Linked DNA regions of Xenopus tropicalis. The protein of the gene in region 2 interacts with the protein of the main gene of each other region in a biochemical or structural test. Links are inferred from orthologs where the notes say so. Each region holds a gene or a part of one and is shown on either strand. Other genes may lie near its edges.

Region 1 (3,656 bases), on a different chromosome or scaffold from region 2:
AATTGTGATCCTTACAGCCAGGTCTGGACTGGGACTCAAATAGGCCCTGGCAGTTTCAGTACAGAGAGGCCCAAACAGCCCCCCGACCAACCCAACAAATAGTGACTGTCATTGCATCTTACAGCAGCCCTTCTGGCATTTGCCAGAACCCCCAGATTGCCAGTCCGGGCCTGCTCCAAACATCTATATTTTTTGGATATCCACTTACTATATTAAAAGACCTACCTTTGTGTACAAACAACTATTCCAGTATTGTACGGTGGAGCCAGCAGAGCAAGGTATAACAGAACAATGGCAGAAAATACTGAATTTACTGAAAAAAGACAGGTTTATTTCCAGTGGTAAAGATATTTTAAATGGGCATTTTCACCCACATTATTTAGGAAGAAAACTTTATAAATTAGAAAGTATCCCCAACACCCACAAAAACATATAAAATAAAATCATTAAAAAAAACACACACACTTTGGGTTTTCTTTCCAAGAAGGGTTATAAAGGGGAAGCACAGAATTACAGCAGATTTGTTAGAATCAGCAGTACAAGTGACAGTCTTACAGCACGACCAACGCAGGCACTTGAGACTCAGAGGCAAAGATGGCGCGGGAGGCAGGGCGAATCCCTCCCCCGGGCTCATCTATAAAACGCCAAACTACAGGCTGGGCACAGCCAGAGGGTTTCTAATACTCTCAGCAGTACCTCTGACAAATAGAACGTCAAAAAGAAACAAAAGACTGAAAGGCCAACTTGGACAAGTGCTAATAACATTGTGGCTTTCAGATCTGTGGCACGTGGAAGAGATGTGCAAAATACATACAAGGGTCTCGGATTGGGGAGACCCCCAGAGTTTATGCGCTTTACCTCGGGGACCCTGATTATTGCTTTCAGCAGCACTGTGTCACACTGGATATGAAAAATACTGAATAAGCAAAATAACAAAATAAACATTAAAAGCATTTAAAATACCAGCAACCTGTGGCTCCCCCACAGATCTGTAGAGCTGCAGTGAGAGTGGCAAGAATAATTCAACCACAGCTTTGTAACGAAACCTCTATAAGAGCAACAAGGCACTCCATGCCACTACGGACATGATCCTATCAATCTAATGACCCCAGTCACCGTTCCATACTGGGGAGGGGGGAACAGACTGTTCCAACATTTTTCTGCTTTGACTACAAAAAAATAATTCTTGGGAATATTTTCTTCCAGTCGCACAATGCCATCTCTATAGCATTTAGCAGGTTTCCCCTTCACTGAGGAGCATGGCAGCTCAAGGGAATGGGTGCTGCTTTAACAGTTATGACCTCAAGGTGAAATTGCCCCAAAATGTACCCCACCACCCCCTTCCCCAAACGGCATACAAAGATGTGGCAGATGATGATCACACATCAGTGACTGGCAGGCTGGCATCGTCTAAATCCAAAAGCACAGGTTCCCGACGGCTGCCATACATGGTGACAGAGGCAGGAGTCATTTTGCCAGGCTGGTTTCCTGCAGGGAGAGTCTGGACCTTGCTGTATCCTGGCTGGGCTTTACTAACAGAGTTAGGTTCTTCCCTCTCGCGGATAGGCATTCCGGGGTCAGAGAGCTGAGCTCTGGCGGCTGAGTGAGGGAGAATGAAGGAACGAGAGGGTGCGCCATGTTCGGAATTTGGGGCCTCCTGCGAACAACAAAGACATGGTATGTGAGAGAGCCGCCTCACCGTGGGCTTGTTAGTAATCAGTGCCGGGTCTGATCAGCTGTGACAAAGTCAAGATAAAAAGGAAATGCTAAAAAAAAAAAAAATGACAGTTGCAAAATCATAAAGCATGATGGGACAGTCGTTATCAGAAGTCCATGGTTGATTATAACAAGCCAGAGAGAAAATCTTCCTAAAACATCAGCCACTAAAAGGGGAAATCATTAAAGGGTATATTCATTGTATCAGAACTTTTTTAGTCAGTTGAATTAGTTTGTGAGATTAACGTGAACCTGCTTAGAAAACAGCTGTATTAATAAGAAATAGCAACGACACTGGGGAAATTTGCACCTGGGCAGTAACTCATGGCAACCAATCAGCAGTCAGCTTAGTTTAGCCAACTGTATAACAGAAAACGGAACAACTGGCTGCCATGACCATGTAACTGGAGGAGTCCCAAGCCAGACTTGGATTTCTTACTATTGAGTGCTATTCTGATACCTACTGGGAGCTGCTATCTTGCTCCCTTCCTATTGTTCTGCTGATCGGCTGCTGGGATGGGGGGGGCCGATATCACTCCAACTTGCAGCGCAGCAGTAAAGTGTGACTGAAGTTTATCAGAGCACAAATCACATGGCTGTGTTTTCCCATGACATACGGATATGGAACAGCTACACTGTATCAAAAGCTGGCAAATAAGCTATTAAAGGCTAATTAACCCTTTAAAACAAGTTGATGTAAAATCGATGAGAGTGTCATTCTAAGCACTTTTGCATTTTATACATTTTTTTAATTTTTTAAAAAAATTTCCAAGATATTAAGGGTTAAAAGTACCGTTACTATGAATGCATTTTGTTAGAACAGCGCCGCCTGCTGGTCACTTTCCCAACATGAATTAGTCAAGGACATTGTCTGAAGAAACAAAGAGGGCTTGGCTGATGTTGTCAATTGGAAAAAGTGCTTAGAACAGCACTCTCATCAATTTTGCATCAACTTATTTTAAAGGTTTACTTAGCCTTTAAGATTATTATGATTTTAGTACATTATTGCTCATAAACAAGTGATCATATCACCCATGGCTCTAAATTTATACGGCTAAAGGAACAAGCATATAGAGCTATGAGTGACCCACAGTGAACACCTAGTAAATACTAAGCATTTTTCCTTTCCATTTTTGTATTCTTTCACTTCAAGAAGGTGCCATAGGCAAATATATATATATATATTCAGTTCCCATACACAGCAGACTGTGGATCTTTCTAACATTGTGCATGCTCAGTCATTGGCAGGAAACATATCATGCAAGCACACCAAGTTATAAACATACACTGTGCTGATGGATGGATGAGGAAGGGTGTGCAAATAATGAGGGTGTTGGACATAGGGACAGGGTTACATGAGAGGGGCGGCAGCAATTGATCAGTAGAGGGACATGCACTGCTGCCTGTGTACCTTGGAATACAGGGATTCGAAAGGCGTCTGACCTGTCGGATCTGCGGGGACACGGGTGGGTGGAAGTTAGATACTTACTGAAGGATCAAGAAAAGATGGGATAACAGAAAAACACCAGGAAAAAGGCAGTAACGGCTGTGTGGTTAAATCCTACGACTGTCGTGACAAGGACCAATTAATAGTGAGTATCTATATTATAACGTGAAGGAGGGGAGTACAACCTGTGAGTAAACAATTTCCAGGATCCCCGTGGATACGTATATTAAAAAATGTCATTTACATGAAAACATATATTAAATAAGTAATCTATATTTCTTAATACAGATTTGAAAATGTATATAATTAACCTTCACCTGTCTGTTTATAGGATAAGTAAACCTTTTAAATAAGGTGATATAAAATTGATGAGTGCTATTCTAAGCACTTTTGCAATTTACATTCATTATTATTTATTTTTTAACTACAGGATATTAAGGGTTAAAAGTACTGTTAGTATGAATGCATTTTGTTACAACAGCGCCAACAGCTG
Region 2 (3,656 bases):
ACAAGCTAAAGACAAGCATTAGAAAAGCTAAAATAAAGATTTAATAGGGAATTGTAGTAAGATGTAAAATAAAACCTATTTTTTTTATATGTAAATAGAAAACAAATGAATCAAGAAGGGTTGGGGCCCATTTATAATTGCACAAGCTTTCGCGCTCACGCAATCACACACACACACACGGGGTACATAATACCCTATATATTTGTGAGTGTTGGGTCTTAGGTGTGTGTGTATACAGTATGTATGCATGCACTGGGGATCATTTGGAGGGGATGAACTGAATGGACTTTTGTGTTCTTCATAATCATGATCATAATCATTTTTTACACTGTTTGTTGTTCTCGACAAAATATTTCCCAAGAGTACAGTTGTTTGGATACAAAATACTTTTACCTTTGCTTCAATTTGTTTTGTATCTTGGTTCTGGAATAAAAATTTAATTTTACTTTTTCCATCATCTGAAGAACCTTTGAGTTGAGAGAACTTGTATTTCCACAGAATTGCCTTAAAGAAAAAGGAAATAAAAAAACATAGTTAAGATGAGACACATTCAAGGGGTAGTTCACTTTTTTTTCTTATAATTCTTGCTTAATTGTGTCCACTGGAGGGGGTAAGAGTCTGACCCAATTGTGGCAGATGCATCAAAACATGTTAAATTGCGCCTGCATGTTATGAATGCCATAATTTAAATTGTGTGTAAAGAATATTTTCTATGCATTTTTGTATGTTTGGTATTTTTTTTAATTGCTTTCTGTGCAGTTTTACATGTTACCCAAACAGATTTTAGATGCCAAAAATAGACACCAAAATCTTTTGTTTAATTTAAACTAAAGTTCTATTTACTATTAGTTCTATTTACTATTAGTACTATTAGAACTGTGACTACAGTACCTAAGGAAGGCAGTACCATAGATGTATTGATCTAACCAGGACAAATATTACAATTTAGGAAAGGCTGAATTGTCATATTTACTCAAGCAAATCAAAGTTGGTATGCATTATTGAATTGACAGCGTCCAAGTAATCATGCCTATACCTATCTGAATCAACTTACTCAAACGGACAATTAGAAAACTACAGTAAAAATGTAATAAAATGAACAATTTCTTCACAGATACAATGGGAGCTATTTCCATATATATAAGCCTGAATAATTCAGGTAAGGTAAAATTACTGTTAGGGGTGCCAAGTTTTTAGGCAACAAATGATTCTAGTTGCTTATGTCCTATCATAGGCTGATGCTCCTTTTCTTCAGAAAATGCACTGGGCTGGGGTACTGTTCCTGAGAGTGCTGCGCCGGCATTTTGTTCCTCATGAAGCTCAGTGCAGAAAATGCCAAAGAAATTCATGTGCTCCCCAAAATGGCGCAGGGGATGTCTAGGACATCAGAACAATATAATGCAATGACATTCACAGGAAACTACCTCAATCCATAATTTAAAAGGGTTATTCACCGTTGAGGGTGATATTCTGAGACAATCTGAAATTGGTTTTAATGTTTTTATTGTGCATGTTTTTTTTAATGATTTAGCTATTTGTTCAGCAGCTCTCTAGTTTGGAATGGCAGGAGCTATCTGGTTGCTAGGGTCCAAATTAATCTAGTAACCAGACGGTGGTCTGAATGAGAGACTAGAATATGAATAGGAGAGGGCCTGAATAGAGAGAGAAGTAAAAAAAAAAAAGTAAAAAATAGTAACAGTAACAATAATATTGTAACCTCAAAGAGCAATAATATATGGACTGATGGGGTTAGCAACTGGCTAATGGTCTTTTTTCACATTGGAATTTGTATACTTCTGCAGAAAAAATGTATACTTTATTATAATAACACACAGGGATTAAGATAATATAGTTATTTGCTACGTGTATGCACTATGGTAACCCATTGGAAATTGAAATTGCATTGGTTTGCACATTGCATTGTTGCCTTATTCACTTTTTTGCTGCAATATGTGTTGTGTAATTGTTCCTTATTTTATGGCCCTGTAACTTGGGCCCAGGGGAGAGGAAATGGTATATACAGTATTATTATGTATTGTGATGGCACATTGGAGATCAAAATGCTATTGCTGAACATACTTATTAATCACTGTCTTTATAAACATTTTCCTTTACTTTGTGACTAATCTAATAAGGACCAGATTTATTACTATTAGTCATAATTGCTCTGCCTTAGACATTTAGAGACATTTATCAATATTCTCATTTTCATTGTTTTCGAGGTTTCTGAAACCACGACTAAACTAAATTCTGGGAATGTCTGTCATTTATGAAAAGTTGTAATATGAAAAGCACAAATGAAAAAAGACGCAGAAAAAAACTCAAAAACGTCTACTTTTCCATATTGTCGTACAAATGCAAGCGTCAAACCCCCCCCCCAAAAAAAAATTCTAAAACTAGGAAGAAAAGAAAGGTCTTCCAGTTGTAAAAAGGACATCTGCCATTGACCTTTACATGATTTCAACAGGTTTTAGATGGCGTATTTTATTTTCTGTTCTGGTTTTGTTGATTAATAAATTGTGAAAAAATAGTTTTTTTCCATAACAAAATTGTATTTTGCTGCAAAAACCGGATTGTGGGACAAAATTAAAATCAAACCTGAGTAAATGCCCTCTTATTCTCTAACCCAAACCGGTGCCATTTTTATACCATGTTGACCTGGCCCATCATCATCACTCTTCCTCTCTCAGGCTAACACTCTTTTCCTCTTTCTTCTCTTTGCAGCTCTCTCAGTATGTCACTCTCTAGAGCAGGGGGCTCAAACTCAATTTACCTGGGGGCCGCAGGAGGCAAAGTCAGGATGAGGCTGGGCCGCATAAGGGATTTCACAAAAAAATTGTGAAATCAGCTAATTGTGCACACAGAACGTCTTCCCATAATAACTGTTATGATGGCATAACGTCATTTCCGCAATCAGCAGCTCCCGCCCGCCGTGCCTTGCATTATCCCTTGAATCGCAATAAAAATCTCGATCCATTCATTGCTTTTGAGAAGGCGTTGGTGCGGGCCACAAAATATTGTACCGAGGGCCGCAAATGGCCCGCGGGCCGCGAGTTTGAGACCCCTGCTCTAGAGCTTTACATTCTCATTAGACATACTGCACATTGTTAGGGGGTTCTCCTTCCTCACTTTTGCTTACGCTTACACTCATCAGATAATATGTTTACCTTTGTTGCAGCATCAAAGCAGATAAATCCCATTCCAAAATCGATAGTAAGACCCATCAAATGGCTTTCAATTACACAGGCATAGGTTTTGCACTAAAAAATACAAAATATTAACATAATAAATTACAATTCCTCTATTTTATAAAGCGTTACAGAATTATTATTGATACTTCATCTGATTATCAATATATATTGCATTTCAAATAATAAAAATGATGTGAAATATTGTTTCGAAAAACAGACTTTGAAGCACAGAAAAATACTAAGTTGCATAATTTTACCTACACGGAATGCATCATGTGTTGATACAATAAAAATTGCCAATTTTGATGATCAATTACTTGTCACCCACCCCCAATCAGTTTGTGCAGGGATGCAAAATAGGACACACGTGGTATGGAAATGGTGGTGAGAGCAAGGGAATGACGCACATAATAAAAATAAATATATTCAGTAGCTTGGCAAGTAATAACCCTGTAGAGTGGGGAT

The links.
Region 1: the proteins of sntg1 (region 2) and plekha1 form a complex in vitro, tested with the Homo sapiens proteins (2 studies listed by BioGRID and IntAct, with this or other methods). The link is inferred for Xenopus tropicalis from reciprocal best matches to the Homo sapiens genes SNTG1 and PLEKHA1.

What each region holds. Positions count from the first base shown.
Region 1 is NC_030683.2:18,981,849-18,985,504, forward strand, and holds the end of plekha1 (pleckstrin homology domain-containing family A member 1), read right to left. Parts: intron 3,169-3,656; coding exon of another isoform or gene 3,128-3,168; intron 1,658-3,127; coding exon 1,379-1,657; 3' UTR 310-1,378; downstream 1-309. UniProt on the Homo sapiens protein: Binds specifically to phosphatidylinositol 3,4-diphosphate (PtdIns3,4P2), but not to other phosphoinositides. May recruit other proteins to the plasma membrane.
Region 2 is NC_030682.2:113,973,766-113,977,421, reverse strand, and holds part of sntg1 (gamma-1-syntrophin), read right to left. Parts: intron 3,261-3,656; coding exon 3,168-3,260; intron 505-3,167; coding exon 394-504; intron 1-393. UniProt on the Homo sapiens protein: Adapter protein that binds to and probably organizes the subcellular localization of a variety of proteins. May link various receptors to the actin cytoskeleton and the dystrophin glycoprotein complex.